Rattus norvegicus: one gene and its partners. The protein of the gene in region 1 purifies or fractionates together with the protein of each later gene. This does not show direct contact. Links are inferred from orthologs where the notes say so. Each region holds a gene or a part of one and is shown in the gene's direction. Other genes may lie near its edges.

Region 1 (5,245 bases):
CCTGCTGGGTTAGTGGCTCCTGGGAACTGCTGGCCACAAGGCTATCAGTGGGCTGAGAATGTTATTGATCAACAGTGATACCTCTTAAAGATTTGCTTTCTGCATATTCCCAGGGTCTCTCATACCGACAAAGCCTTCAGGGATTTGCAGTGAAGGCAACGTATATCCCAATGACAGGGAGGTATTTTTGGCCTGCCTCCCCTAGGTCAACGTATAGGTGTTTCAGGCAGAACATGACCTCTGGTCATCAAGGGTCAGTCCTCTAGATGGGTAAACTCCTGGCCTTGGGTCTTGCTGGCTCTGCCTCCCTGCCGTACACAGAGAGAGACTATGTAGAGAAAGGGTGTCTGAAGAAGACTCCAAAACTAAAGGGAAGGTAGCTAGTCACAAAGATTCTGGGTGATGGATCTCTTTATTGAGCCCACTCTGCCTCCTGAATCTTAAACCAGGCCTGGTCGTCTCTGTGTAAGAAGGAAGGCATTCCGGGGACAGATGAGTCGGACAAGTGGGTGGGGTAAATGCTAATATCTTGCCCGGCATTTATTTTTAATTCCTGGCTCCCAGTCGACGGCCTCAGCAGTCTTCAAAATTGCCAGGTCATCCGAGAGGCCTGCCTAGTCTCTGCCTGCCCTCTGCCAGACAGACCCTCAGGCTTCACCTTACTCTCTCCTCATAGCTGATAGCTGCCCTAATTGGTCACCCATCTCCAGGGCCCCTCACGGGGGCTGCCTCAGTAGTTGGTGCTGGGCCCTGACCCCGGTCTTCTATGTCTAGATAGGCACAGGCCTGCTGTTATTCAGCATACTCAAGGAACCTTTGCTTCCTACCTTCTTCCTACCTGCTTCCTACCTGCAATGACAAAGATTGGGTGGGTAGGGACAGGTGGCAGCATTGGAAAACAGGAATGTCTGGGTCAAATGATAGGCATCTCTGAAGAAGTCCTTGGTGACGACACATGGTGGCCACAACCCCCTTAAGGCCAGTTTTGGATATCCTAATCTTCCTAGAAACCTCAGGGGCTCTCTAGTTCCTACCCATGGGGCCTGAAGGAGTTTGGGGGGGTCTGAACTCTGGATGTTCTTAGTGGCCTTAGCTAAGACCGTCTGACCAGAAATGCAATCAGGAGTATGCCTTGACTTTGAGAATGGGTTTCATAAATTCCCTATACCTAAGGGAATAGGTATAAAAAACCTCTTTCCAGAGCTTCCTAAGAAGGTTGGATCCGGGCTAGACTTGCTGATGGCCTCAAGGACCTGTCATGTAGGGTCTATGTGAAATAAGCACCTGTCCCGGGGGTAGGGCATCATGGAAAACCTCTGGAAATTGAGCTTCATGTTCATTGGGACTCAACCATGAGCAGGGCCAGCAATGGATGGCCACAATCAGGGCTTGCAGGGATCTTGACCTAGGCTTGGACCTCTTCTCCTGGGTCTACTTGCTGGTTCCCTGTTTTGTGTTCCATTTTCCTGGGGACATTTTTATGTTGGATGTACCTTTTTTTCCCCCTGCTTTCAAGCAACCACTGTCTCTGCTACTCCAGTTCTTTCTACTGCTTCTTTCGCCTCTCTCCATCCCTGCCCCTCCTTTCCTGGCTCTGTTTCCCTGCCCCCACCTCTGAGCGCTGCACCGCCCTTTTGCCTGTTTTTCTCTCCTGGTCTGTGCTCTCGCTCGGTGGTTCTCTCCCTCGCTCGGGTACATCTCTGCAGCTGCGTCCTCTCGGATCCTCGTTACGCCGGCCGGCGTCCGTGGGTGCGCGGCCCCTGCGTCCGCGCATCGTTCGCACCCCATCTGCCAGCCTCCCGGCGCCCGCCTCCCCCCTCCGGTACCGCATTGCCGTACTGCAGGGGCGCAGTGCATTGCGCCGGCACCGTCAATAGGTGGACCCCCTCCTAGAGAGATAAAACCGCCGGCGCCAGCGCCACCAGTCCCTCTGACTGAGACCTCGGCTCTGGGTAAGGACGCACAACCCGGTCTGAGACCCTTGATTAGGTTTCCAACCAGGGTTCGCCTTCCTGTGAACCCGTCCTGAGGTAGAGGGGGACATGCGGCACCTAGCTGGGCTGCACCTCTGGGCTGGGAGGGGGTGTCTCTAGACAGGGCATGGTGGGGTCCCCGTGGCAGTCGGGTAGTAAGTCCCTTAGGTGATTGTATACTTGGTGACAGGGGTTAGGGAGGGGGATGTTTCTCCTGAAATCATCATGCTGTCACTGTGACCTTGGGGCTTGCCGGGGGTTCTGCGAGGCCGATCGTTGCAGGTGCTGGCATGGTGGTTTGGGGCTCTGAGGATGTTCGTGATTTGTCAGAGTAGGGCGGGGGGTGGTGATGGTAGTGAAACCTGAGGACCCCTATTCACGTTCTACGGTGGCTACCACCCTAGGATGCACCCCCATCCCACCAGGCCCGAGATTCTTGGTTGACCTCTAAGATGCGCAGGTACTAAGACCCAGGGCCTGGACCAGATGGTAGGGGAGAGGGTCGGGGCATCTCTGAGGGCACTTGCTTAGCTGGGCCAGGTGGGATTTTTATTCTTCTGGCTAGAACAGGGCACTTACCTCTCGGCCCTGATGGCTGCCCCCTGCCTGTGGGGAGGGCCTGAGCTATTCTGGGCCTATGCCTGGGCACCATCCAGCTGTCTCCTCAGCCAGCCTGTGGGCAGAGGGAGGAAGATGGCGCCCTTGCCTGAGGAGGGGCTGAGGAGTGCTGGCCTTCTCTTCATGGTGGCAGCAGATGGGGGTAGGGCAGTGTCCATCCCTGGGGTGTGTGTGTGTGTGTGTGTGTGTGTGTGTGTGTGTGTGTGTGAAGGAGGGGGGTGGAGGCATCGAGGACAGGGAGGACAGCGCACTGTAGAGCTGGGCACAGTGACTCATCACAGGGCTCCTGGCTGCTCCAGGGGCTCACTCAGTCTGCTGCTCTGTGATGTCCAGACAGGATTAACCCTTCCTTAAGGAACTTTCCTCCAAATCAACTCTCCAAACACTTACACACTAACGAACCATTTGGGTTAAGGTATAGGGTAGAGAAACAGGTGACTTATGAATGCAATGTGTCTGGACACGTTTAGGACAAGGGTTTGGGGGTGGAGGGTGTCATTCTTCCCTATCCAGGCTCAGGTGAAGACTGGGTCAGGAAAAGAGCTCCCAAACAATGCAATGGTGTGGGTATCTCTGCTGGGCTCTCTTAGGGCCCCCTAGTCACCTGTTTCTCTTGTCCCTGGCCCCACAGAGTTCCTGCCCAGCAAATACCCTCAACCCAGAGCCAGAGCCCCCACAGTGCCAGCCCGTCCCTCACTCAGGCAGAATGGGCAAGGAGAAGACACACATCAACATTGTGGTCATTGGCCACGTGGACTCAGGCAAGTCTACCACGACAGGCCATCTCATCTACAAATGTGGCGGCATCGACAAGCGGACCATCGAGAAGTTTGAGAAGGAGGCAGCAGAGGTGAGGACCTGGGGGCCTGGTGCTTTCTTTCATTGCCCAGTTTACCTCCTTCAGTGCAAGGGGATATGGGTAGGTAAACAGAGCAGTCTCCTGAGAATGTTGCTAGATCTGTCTCATACTGAGGGAGGGGGAATTTGTGCCCTCCCCAGGTCCATTATAAGACTCTTCACTCTTGGCCTCGGTGGGCCAGTGCCAGGGGGCCCTTCAAGCCTTATCCTCTTGCTCCCCAGGACTGAAACTGGGCTGAATGTGGTGCTGCCCTCACTTGTCTTCCAACAGCCAGGGCTCAAGGATGCTATTAATAGTTGATTGATGGGCAGCAGGCTTGCCAGCTCCACTTTCTCCAGATAAGCTGAGGAGGGTTGCTGATCTAGGATGATACCTGGAGTAGGGGGGATCTTGCTAACCTGTTCCTGGTTGAGACCTACGAAAGAGCAGTGATTGTAACTGGATTCTCTTCTCTGCCCCTACCCCTGCTCATTCTGAGAAGGGCTGGCTCCTGCATAAGAGCTAAGGCAGGCCTGAGGACATTAACTATCTATGCAGAGCTCTTGCTCCAGTGTGTATATGGGACTTTGAGCCACAATTCTGTGTGTCTAGGCCTGATGCTTTTTACCTTTTAGAGGGTGTGATTTTAGGGGGAGGAGGTAGGAGGGATTTGAGGGTTTGAAGGTCACTTGGGTCAGGTCCCAGCTGGGTTTTGTCTGGTTCTGTCTGAATAGCCAGCCCCTCCAGGCTGGGCATCATCCGTGGAATGCAGAAGCATGTCATTTGAAATTCTGGTAGGGAGCTATGTTCAGTTGAGCATCGATGACCACAGCTCTGGTCCAGGCTGTAGGAGTCTCACCAGGAGTCTGACCCTGGCACAAGTTTCCAAAAAGCAGCCAGCCTTGCTCTTGGTAGGGCTACTCCTACTTCTCCTATTTTGGTGGAACTGGGGAGGGGAGATGTCTCAGAGTTAGAAGAATTCATCCACTACAGGAAGATCTGGAACCAGACTTTTCTCAAAACCTTGAGCAACTTACTCATGTTTAAAATTTCCCTTAAAAAATAACTTGAGACTTGTTTTGTTTTTCACAGCCCCAAACCTAATGAGATAATTGACCTCTAATTGGGTGTAGAGCCTTAGCCTCAGGTGGCAAGGATAGTTTGGCAACTCCCAGACACTCACGCCCTCTGCTGGGGGACTTGCGTGTTCACAGCCATTTAGGAGGGGAGCAAGGGTGGGGCTGGTTGATCTGGGCGGCCTCAGGTGAGGCACAGCAGGGTTTGAGGAACAGCACCGGAGAGATGGGACAGAGGTCCTCCGTTCGAGGCACTTTAAGCCAACTGTCAACCTCTCATGGTTGCTCCCTGGGGCCAGGACAGGCGTAGTAGGTGGATGCGACCCCAAAGTCCTGTGTCCTATCCTGAGTTGTGCCCCTACCCTTCCAGATGGGGAAGGGCTCCTTTAAATATGCCTGGGTGCTGGACAAGCTGAAGGCAGAGCGGGAGCGCGGCATCACCATCGACATCTCCCTCTGGAAGTTTGAGACCACCAAGTACTACATCACCATCATTGATGCTCCAGGCCACCGGGACTTCATCAAGAACATGATTACTGGCACATCCCAGGTGCGTGCAGGAGGGCACCTAGCTCAGTGACTTAGGGCCCAACAGCTCTCTTGAGGTGTCAGTATCTCTTGTACTTCCTGCCTTGACAGAGCCCCGCCCATGGCATCTCCATCCCGTTAGGCTGAGTCCCTCAAGAACTGAGTCAGTGCTTTCATGTCAGCTAGATGGTGTGCCAAGAGGGTTACCTCAC
Region 2 (4,463 bases), on another chromosome or scaffold:
CCCAGTGCTCCTCACAGCTGACCCAGTGCTCCTCACAGCTGGCCCAGTGCTCCTCACAGCTGACCCAGTGCTCCTCACAGCTGACCCAGTGCTCCTCACAGCTGGCCCAGTGCTCCTCACAGCTGACCCAGTGCTCCTCACAGCTGGCCCAGTGCTCCTCACAGCTAACCCAGTGCTCCTCACAGCTGGCCCAGTGCTCCTCACAGCTAACCCAGTGCTCCTCACAGCTGGCCCAGTGCTCCTCACAGCTGCCCCAGTGCTCCTCACAGCTGACCCAGTGCTCCTCACAGCTGACCCAGTGCTCCTCACAGCTGGCCCAGTGCTCCTCACAGCTAACCCAGTGCTCCTCACAGCTGGCCCAGTGCTCCTCACAGCTGGGCCCAGTGCTGCTCACAGCTGACCCAGTGCTCCTCACAGCTGGCCCAGTGCTCCTCACAGCTGACCCATCTCTCTGAGCTCCCCTAAGGGAGCTTTGGTTTGTTTGGTTTGGTTTGGCTTTTGGTCTTTTGATTTCCTGTTTTTGGGTTTTAGTAGCCCAGAATGGCATTGAGATGGGTGACCAATGGCAATGAGTTAGGTGGCCAAGGCTGGCCTTGAACTCCTGACACTCCTGCCTTCCCCAACCAGCATGAGGATTGCATGGGTGAGCTGCTCTACCCAGATTTGTTTTTAACAGTAATGATACCAAAGGGCGCTTTTCTTCTTCTTTTTCAGTTGGGGTCTGTCTTAGAACTTGCTATGTAGACCAGGTTGGCCTCAAACCCAGTTTGCCTCTGCCTTCAGGGCAATGAGATTAAAGATGTGCACCACTGCCGCCCGGTTCCTCAAAGCACATTAAAGTTTATAAAGTATGTTAATGTTTTCTGGGGTGTCTGTAAGGGCGACTTCTTGCTATCTCTAAGAGACTTGCTACAATCCCTTTCCACAAAAGATCTTAGTACAGTGTGATAAGCAAGCAGAACTGTAATCCTTACTTCATTGTACACTGTTATTTTGTCTTTTTTTTTTCCCCCCCGGAGCCGAGGACTGAACCCAGGGCCTTGTGCTTGCTAGGCAAGCGCTCTACCACTGAGCTAGATCCCCAACCCCTCATTGTACACTGATGATGGTCCTCTAACATGCAAGGGGTTGGGAGGGAACAGTGGAGATGGCTCAGTGGATAAAGCACGCTGCAAACATACGGGAACCCAAGTTTGGATCCACGGGACCCGTGGATTGCACATCTGTAATCTCAGAAGCACTGAGGGCAATGGACGCCTGTGCTGTAAGCCTCTTACAGTGGAGAACAGGAGAACACAGCCCAAGGTGGAAGACAGGGACTGAGGCTTCAGTTTACCTTCTGCCTTCCACATGCACACACGCCCACGCAGGTGCACACATAAAAACTAAAACCCTGGGGTTGGGGATTTAGCTCAGTGGTAGAGCGCTTCCCTAGCAAGCACAAGGCCCTGGGTCCGGTCCCCAGCTCCGAAAAAAGAAAAAAAAAAAAAAAAAAGAAGTACTGATTGTGTCTCCGCCCTTTTTGGCAAATGGGAACATTGAGATGGGTATTCCGGCGTATGTAGTCCTGGTGGCCTGGAACTCATAGAAATCCACGCCTCTGCCTCGGGTGCTGGGATTAGATGAAGCCACCACCCTGGCACGTAACACCTTCTTACCTTATCGGCTGGCATTTCCTATCGCCTGTGTCCTCCCTTACATCTGTGAGCCTCTTCCTCCTCCTGGCCTCCCCTTTTGTTGTGAACGGAGTGAAGGTTCCCCTGTTCACAGGGCGCGGGCATCGTATCAATCATTCCACTGAAGAACATGCCTTTCGTCCCTCTGCAGTCACTAGGATCTGGAGAGGCCTGTGCCCGCCCTGTTCATCTTCTCTGTCGGGCACTTTAATAAGACATGGCGAGTTAGGAGCAAGACCTCTTGGGTAATCTGCTTGGGTCTGTGGATGAAATTGGCTTCTGTCTGTGGCTTTGTTCCTAGGACCATCTTGCCTGTAGCTCTCTGGCTGGGTGAGACCTCCTCTGTTCTTTTTAGAGATTGTTCTGCTGGTCTTCCAAGTTCTTTCTCTGCCTGACTTCAGAATGAGAGGGTTTCAATCCATCCCTTTCTTAAGCATCCATGACCCCCTCTGGCAGAACCGTGAGACCGTTGGTGTTGGGTCTACCTGCCTGGCTCACCCTCTGGCCCTGCTGTGTCCCACAGGCACCGCATGCGGGGGGAGACCACCCTATGGAACCCAGGCTGTGACCATGCTGGCATCGCCACCCAGGTGGTGGTGGAAAAGAAACTCTGGAAAGAGCGGGGTCTGAACCGTCACCAGCTGGGCCGCGAGGCCTTTCTTCAGGAGGTCTGGAAGTGGAAAGCGGAGTGAGTCCAGCAAGCCCACGGGTGCTGCAGCCCTGGCTGCGGGCTTGGGCTCCCACAGGGGTGGCCAAAGGCTTATCCTGGACTCTGTCCACTTCCAGGAAGGGTGACAGGATTTACCACCAATTAAAGAAACTTGGCAGCTCCTTGGACTGGGATCGAGCCTGCTTCACCATGGATCCAGTATGCAGGCAGAACCCTGGGGCGGGGCAGGGGTGCTCCCTGGGTGGGGTCCCTCTGCCAGGAAGTCAGAGCATAGCCAAGGGCTCAGCCATCAGTGCCTAGCCCAGACCTAAGCTGCAAGCCCCCAGCTGCCCCTGCATCACCAGACCCTGACCTGCCCTGCACTCCCATAAAAAACAAACTGTCCTGGAGGTTCTGTGTGGGACTCTAGGATAGGCCTGGTGAACTCCCAGTCCCCCCTCAGTCCTCACCTCACACCCCCACCCTGGGCATTGTCCTTGGCCTCCAGGCACCAAGATTTCTCTGACTTCCACTTTCTTCACCCTAGAAATTGTCAGCAACTGTGACAGAAGCTTTTGTTAGGCTCCATGAAGAAGGGGTCATTTACCGCAGTACCCGCCTGGTCAACTGGTCCTGCACCCTCAACTCTGCCATTTCTGACATCGAGGTGTGTAAGCCTCTTCCCACAGTGGCCCATCTCCCTCTGCCCACCACTTGTCTCCCTCTGGTCTTCCCTAGCCTGGGCCTGGCCCACTTCTCTAAACACCCATCTCACAGGTGGATAAGAAAGAGCTGACGGGCCGCACCCTGCTCTCTGTGCCTGGCTACAAGGAGAAGGTGGAGTTTGGGGTCCTCGTGTCCTTTGCCTACAAGGTCCAAGGCTCAGGTGGGAGCTAAGGACACCAGGATGTGGGCTGGGAGGGGGCGGGTGGAGGGAGCTCAGACACAGAGCCTTCTGTCACTCCAGACAGCGACGAGGAGGTGGTGGTGGCAACAACCCGGATCGAGACAATGCTGGGGGACGTGGCTGTGGCTGTGCACCCCAAAGATCCCAGATACCAGGTGGGGCGTGGACACTCATGCTGTGTTCTGGGGTGGGTGAGGGCCTGGTGCCCAGCCCTGCCAGTCCTGACCTTTCCCTGTTTGTGTTAAGCATTTAAAGGGAAAGAGTGTCGTCCACCCGTTCTTGTCCCGGAGCCTTCCCATTGTCTTTGATGACTTTGTGGACATGGAGTTTGGCACAGGTGAGCCGTGGCTGTCGCCTGTTGGGAGAAAAGACTGAAAAATTACCTTCGGTGCAGTAGGCAGAACTGAAGCTGGATACAAGATACAAGACACCGTGTTAGGGAGCAGACAGCAGAGGGGTCTGGGAGCCACGCCCTTCAGCGTGAGGGGTGTGGGAGGGAACCCCCAGCATGCAGTGGAACCCTGGCACACCCTGTGTCCTCCAGGTGCTGTGAAGATCACCCCGGCCCATGACCAGAATGACTATGAGGTTGGGCAGCGACATAGGCTGGAGGCCATTAGCATCATGGACTCGAAGGGGGCCCTTGTCAATGTGCCTCCACCTTTCCTGGTGAGGATGTCTGCACAGTGAGGGGCCTGTGTGGAAGGTGGAGAGTCTTGGGCATTGCCATAATGAGGCCTTTTCCATCCAGGGCCTGCCCAGGTTTGAGGCCAGGAAGGCTGTGCTGGCGGCCCTGAAGGAGCAGGGCCTGTTCCGCGGCATCAAGGACAACCCCATGGTAGTGCCACTATGCAAGTGAGACCGGGGACGGTGCACATGGGGAAGGGAAGGGTGGGGTTCCTCTGGGAGCTTGGCACATGGCCTCCTCTCTATGACCTTCCTGCTGCAGCCGCTCCAAGGATGTGGTGGAGCCTCTGCTAAGGCCACAGTGGTACGTGCGCTGTGGGGAGATGGCTCAGGCCGCCAGTGCTGCCGTGACCCGGGGAGACCTCCGTATACTGCCTGAGGCCCATCAGCGGACGTGGCATTCTTGGATGGACAACATCCGGTGTGTATGGCCTGGGTGGGCAGCACAGCAGCTGAGAGACACAGGCTGAGCACCCTGACTGACCCCTTGCTGTTCGCAGAGACTGGTGCATCTCTCGGCAGCTGTGGTGGGGCCACCGAATCC
Region 3 (5,234 bases), on another chromosome or scaffold:
ACTTCTGAAGCCCTGTGAAGGGGACAGAGTCCCACTCCCACTGAAGTAGCTGCAGGGATGTCCCAGTTAATGGCTTCCAGGTGACCCCTTTCTACTCTGCTTCCATCAGGTTCCCTGCTGGCCCAGTTCTTCTCCTGCGTGTCTTGCTGGGATCTTTCTGGCTCCCTGCTGTCCCTGCGGGAAGGTCAGGCACTGATGGTGGCAGGGGGCCTGCCTTCTGATCTCTGGGAAGGGCTGCGCCTTGGCCCCATGAATCTCCAGGACCCCTTTGATCTGAGTCACAATGTTGCAGCCAATGTGACCAGCCGCGTGGCTAAGCGTCTGCAGAGCAGTTGTGGAGCAGCAGCTAGTTACTGCCGGAGTCTCCAGTACCAGCAGCGCTCCTCCCGGGGCCGGGACTGGGGACTGCTCCCACTTTTGCAGCCCAGCTCCCCTAGCTCCCTGCTCTCTGCCAAGCTTATCCCCTTACCCTCTGCCCCCTTTCCACAGATCATTACAGCTTTGGTGAGTGTGTTAAGGGAAGCACTAGGATGCCATATAGAACAGGGAACCAAGAGACGACGGTCGGAAGGTGCCAGATCTAAAGACTCTCCCCTGGGAGGGGCAAACAAAAGACCAAGACTTAGTGGGCAAGAAAAGAGCTGTGAGGAAGGGAAAGAGGAGCCACAGGGATGTGCAGGGGACCACAGTGAAAATGAGGTAGAAGAAATGGTAATAGAATTGCGAGAGACACCTCAGGACTGGGCCTTGTTGCACTGTGGACCACCAGGGGAGTTGCCCCTGATGACTGCAAAATGTCTAGACAAGACTGCTGAGCAGAATCCCATGGAACCTGAGGGGGCTGGAGAAGGGTCCCCCGGTGAGACAGAGAAGGAGGCTTCACACCCGTCATCAGTGAGTTGGCGCTGTGCCTTGTGGCACCAAATATGGCAGGGGAGGCGGCGTGCCCGGAGACGATTTCAGCAGCAAACCAAGGAAGAAGGCAGAGGAGGTCCCAGCACCGGAGCAGAGTGGCTGGCAGTGGAAGCACGAGTAACCCAGGAACTGAAGGGACCAAAGAGTGAGCAGCAGAGGCTACAGGGGGAGCCCCTCCTCACCTTTGTGGCATCGGCCTCCCAAGCTGAGCAGACACTCACTGTGGCACCCCTCCAGGATCCCCAAGGCCTGTTCCCTGGTCTTCATCATTTTCTACAGGTTTTTATCCCTCAAGCACTTAAAAATCTCCTCAAGTGAGGAGCCAAGCCTCAAAAGCAATAAAGCTGCTAGTTTATTTCAAACAGACATTGGACAACTTCTGTTTTCTTCCTGGGAACACCTTTTCTCTTCGCCTTAGGGTAGCCTCTGCCCTAAGTACCCTAAAACAGTCCTATTAATTCTACTTCAGAGCTCTCCTTCCCATTTCATAACACTTTCATAGTGATTGCCACCACCACGAGGCAAAGGCATTGATTTCTAATAAGGTTTGCCTATACAGGGTTTGTCCTGCTGCTCCAGTTGATGGGAACCACCACAAATTCGAGTTTAGGGTTTCTTTTCTATCTTTTTACATGAAAGAGTTCAAACTGCTCATAAGTTGGATACAAGATTTTCAAATTTTGGTATGTGTAAATTACTGTATCAGAACTGGGCTGCCTTACCCGACTCTCTGGGGCGCAGCCAAGCCTGAGAGGTGCAGGCGACGTGGCAAGTGGTCCGCGTTGCTTTGTTGAAGTTTTAAAAGCATTGAGTTTAATCGGAGCAGACCTGCTTTCAGATGTTTTCGGCCCTGGGCCCCAGCTGAACAGACATCCCTTTATAGAAAAACCCAAGCAGGAACAAAATGAATTCAGTAAATTGTCACCCCTTCCTTGCAGCAGTTCCTATAGTCGTAGGTTCCAGGTGCCAGCCGTGGAGGGGCGGTGCTTCCGCCAGGTTCTCACACTTTTCCCCTCCTTCGGCGAGCTCCGTCGCTTATCAGGCTTCCGATTGGTCGGCTACGCGGGCGGGGCAGTGTCCACAGCTATACTACGCAGGCGCTCTCTCTTTGCGCTCCAGGCAGCGGCCCCACCCCTTACTTTTTCCAACTCAGCGGGGCAGGAGACGGAACTGTCGTGCGTACGCCTTTTATGCCGTCCTCGCTTTCCGGCCGCTGTTTCCACACGACTCAATCCTTCCCTCCTCCCTTGTCTCCCTTGCGGCTTACTTTGCGGCAGCGCCGACAGCCCCACCCCCTTTCTCTGCGGAATCACCATGGCGGCTGGGGTAAGTTTGCCGGCTCCAGTGATTCCGGTCACCCTATCCGCCGCCATCCTTTACTTGGGTTGGGCCAGTCGGCGCCGGAAGAGTTTCAGACCCAAGCCGAGAGCCGATTTGGGGTCCACAGGCCATATGGTCGGAGAGCAGGGTTTCTAGGGCCTGGAGGGGAACTGAGGCTGGGTCTCGGAGGCCAGAGGTGGAACGTTCTGGGGTTGGGAAAAAGAGATGCCGGGTCTCCACTGTCTGGACCTTTAAAAAGTGTGTTTAGCCTCACTGCCATTTTGAGATGTGGTGGCTGAGCAGGTTGGTGGAACTTTTGCCATCTTTTTGTGGGTCAACAACGAGGACAGTGAAAAGGAGAAGGTCTTTGTGGGAAGGGGCGACTGGCACAGTTGGAGCTGACCTTCGGGGAGGTTTGAGAGCCCGAGGAATAAATGAGCAGTGAAATGAGCCCATTCGGGCCCTGTAGGGAGACAGCTGGGAGCTCACTGCAGGACAGGACCAGAGGGATGTTAATTCAAGACGTGCAAAGAAAGGCCTTTTAGGAAGAACAACTGATGAGCTTTAGAATTCAACGTGGCAATTCTAAGGGGAACTTTGAAACCCCTTGGTCTAGTGCGTGCTTTTGAAGTAGTACCATCCGGGAAGTAGACGCCGGGCCACCACGAATGAATGAATGAAACAAGGGTTCTGGTAGAGATGGGTGTGAATGTGTGCGTGTGTTTAGGCCGGTGGGAGTCGGATGGGACCAGAAGTTTTGAAGGGAAGAATGCTATAGAGATGTCCTTAAGAGAGGTCACATCTGTCGGTAAGCTTTATTTAGCAGCTGGTATGTTCTCCTTGGTATTTCAGAGGACTCTGATTACATAGGGCACACCCGGTTAATTTGGTTCCCCGGGAATGAAACTAAGCTATTCACATTGGAATTGCCTGGATGTGTGCGTGGGGAGTGGCATTCAGGATTCTTTTGCTCAAGGCCATCCTTCACCCTTTATCTTGTAGACCCTGTACACATACCCTGAAAACTGGAGGGCCTTCAAGGCCCTCATCGCTGCTCAGTACAGCGGGGCTCAGATCCGCGTGCTCTCCGCACCACCCCACTTCCACTTCGGCCAAACCAACCGCACCCCCGAATTTCTCAGAAAATTTCCTGCGGGCAAGGTGAGTAGGAGAACAGCAGGAATCCCTAGAGTCCCGTTATTCTGGAGATGGCCTCCGCAGTATATTTGTTTTTTTTTTTTTTTTTTTTCCTTAAAAATCTCATGGGGCCAGGGATGTAAGCTATGAAAGCCCCTGAACTTGACTGTCCAAAGAAAAAAAGTAATTTTGAAAGCTTCTGGTAATCCCAGTACTCTGGAGCCTGAGGCAGGAAGACTGTGTGAGGTGAACCTATACAGTATGTATTCTCCCTAAAGAAAAAGAATCATTGGAGGTGGGTATTTATGAAGGGATAGTCACAGCTGTTGAGTGACTGTCAAGAATTACAGACCTGCTGTATGTTTGTGGGATAGAAATTATTTTTACCAGGTGTTATCTGTACACCAATATTAAGTGTGTCTTGAGAGTTTCTTATCCTGAAGGGCTTGAGTAGAGCTAAATATCCTAAGTTAAACGTGGAGGAGGGCAGACGCTGAATCTGGACTGCACCTATGCTTTGGGGGATAAGGCTGTGGGCTTGTCCCACATCTGTATCTGAATTTGTTTATTTTGGGGTGGGGTCTCAACTAGCCCTGACTGGTTTCAGATAAGAGTTCTGGGATTAAGGGTATAGGGCACCGTGTTTCAGCCATGTTTGAATTCCAGCCATTGTGAATTCATATAAGGGATACTAAGTATTTTTCATTTCTGAGTTAAGATGTCGTGAGTTTGCATAGCAAGAGGTGTCTGTCTTAACATTATTTAGCATAGTTCAATCCCAAGAGTTGACTATCGAGAAATCCCTGTGTTTTACTTTTGTGTTTTTCACTACTTTCTCCCTAGGTTCCAGCCTTTGAGGGCGATGACGGATTCTGCGTATTTGAGAGCAATGCCATCGCCTATTACGGTAATTTGAGGGGATACAGGAGTGAGAGGGTCTGGGGGTAAGGCTGCAGAAGTGGTTGCAGTGGACAAGATGGATTCAGAGATTGCACTGGTTTTGACGTGATCTCAAGTTCTAAGCTACATGTTCTCCCTTTGCAGTAAGCAATGAGGAGCTACGGGGAAGTACACCAGAGGCAGCAGCGCAAGTGGTGCAGTGGGTGAGCTTTGCTGACAGTGACATCGTCCCTCCAGCCAGCACCTGGGTGTTCCCCACCTTAGGCATTATGCACCACAACAAGCAGGTACGCTTCAGAACTTGGGGAGAGAAGCTGGGGCAGAGTTGGGGTCAGAGACTACGTATTGGGGCTGGGAAGTAGAAGAAGGAAAAGACACCAGGAGTTGTGTGGGCAGTGCAAAGACTGAAGTGGTTACCATCAGTATGGTGGAAATAAAGTCATACTGACCATGAAGAAACTTAGCACGAGATTCATTTCTGATAGATTTCAACTGACCCCAGAGTCTAATGATAACAGGGTGGGGGTTGAGTCAGTGCTGATGAAATGGCTTCTTTAGTTCTGTTGGTAGGTGGATATGAGGAAAGGGACTTGCTGTCCACTAAGTTTGAGTATTCAAAACAACAGGCCACTGAAAATGCCAAAGAGGAGGTGAAGCGAATCTTGGGGCTGCTGGACACTCATCTGAAGACACGGACTTTTCTGGTTGGTGAGAGAGTAACACTGGCTGACATCACGGTTGTCTGTACCCTATTGTGGCTCTATAAACAGGTAAGGTTTGTGTCCCATTTGACAGGGGTAGACCTGTACTGGGGTACCCGGTTCCACTTAGGACAGACCAGTTAATGGCTGTAGGAATCCCAGCATTGAGAACTGTGACTGTTTTCATCTTTTTTTTTTTTTTTTTCTTTTGGTTCTTTTTTTCGGAGCTGGGGACCGAACCCAGGGTATTTTCATCTTATT

What was found.
Region 2: the proteins of Eef1a2 (region 1) and Vars1 purify together in Homo sapiens (co-immunoprecipitation; 3 studies listed by BioGRID and IntAct, counting the BioPlex papers as one, with this or other methods). This does not show direct contact. The link is inferred for Rattus norvegicus from reciprocal best matches to the Homo sapiens genes EEF1A2 and VARS1.
Region 3: the proteins of Eef1a2 (region 1) and Eef1g purify together in Homo sapiens (affinity purification with mass spectrometry; 4 studies listed by BioGRID and IntAct, counting the BioPlex papers as one, with this or other methods). This does not show direct contact. The link is inferred for Rattus norvegicus from reciprocal best matches to the Homo sapiens genes EEF1A2 and EEF1G.

The regions. Positions count from the first base shown.
Region 1 is NC_086021.1:188,649,089-188,654,333, reverse strand, and holds the start of Eef1a2 (elongation factor 1-alpha 2), read left to right. Parts: upstream 1-1,700; 5' UTR 1,701-1,952; intron 1,953-2,658; exon of another isoform or gene 2,659-2,727; coding exon of another isoform or gene 2,728-2,733; intron 2,734-3,222; coding exon of another isoform or gene 3,223-3,297; coding exon 3,298-3,441; intron 3,442-4,875; coding exon 4,876-5,055; intron 5,056-5,245. UniProt on the Homo sapiens protein: Translation elongation factor that catalyzes the GTP-dependent binding of aminoacyl-tRNA (aa-tRNA) to the A-site of ribosomes during the elongation phase of protein synthesis.
Region 2 is NC_086038.1:3,814,419-3,818,881, reverse strand, and holds part of Vars1 (valine--tRNA ligase), read left to right. Parts: intron 1-2,199; coding exon 2,200-2,364; intron 2,365-2,462; coding exon 2,463-2,544; intron 2,545-2,872; coding exon 2,873-2,992; intron 2,993-3,102; coding exon 3,103-3,211; intron 3,212-3,292; coding exon 3,293-3,387; intron 3,388-3,478; coding exon 3,479-3,569; intron 3,570-3,776; coding exon 3,777-3,901; intron 3,902-3,983; coding exon 3,984-4,087; intron 4,088-4,181; coding exon 4,182-4,340; intron 4,341-4,419; coding exon 4,420-4,463. UniProt on the Homo sapiens protein: Catalyzes the attachment of valine to tRNA(Val).
Region 3 is NC_086019.1:215,287,589-215,292,822, forward strand, and holds the start of Eef1g (elongation factor 1-gamma), read left to right. Parts: upstream 1-2,226; 5' UTR 2,227-2,229; coding exon 2,230-2,241; intron 2,242-3,237; coding exon 3,238-3,396; intron 3,397-4,215; coding exon 4,216-4,279; intron 4,280-4,416; coding exon 4,417-4,559; intron 4,560-4,898; coding exon 4,899-5,042; intron 5,043-5,234. Other genes in the region: Tut1 (speckle targeted PIP5K1A-regulated poly(A) polymerase), read left to right, coding at 110-1,233. UniProt on the Homo sapiens protein: Probably plays a role in anchoring the complex to other cellular components.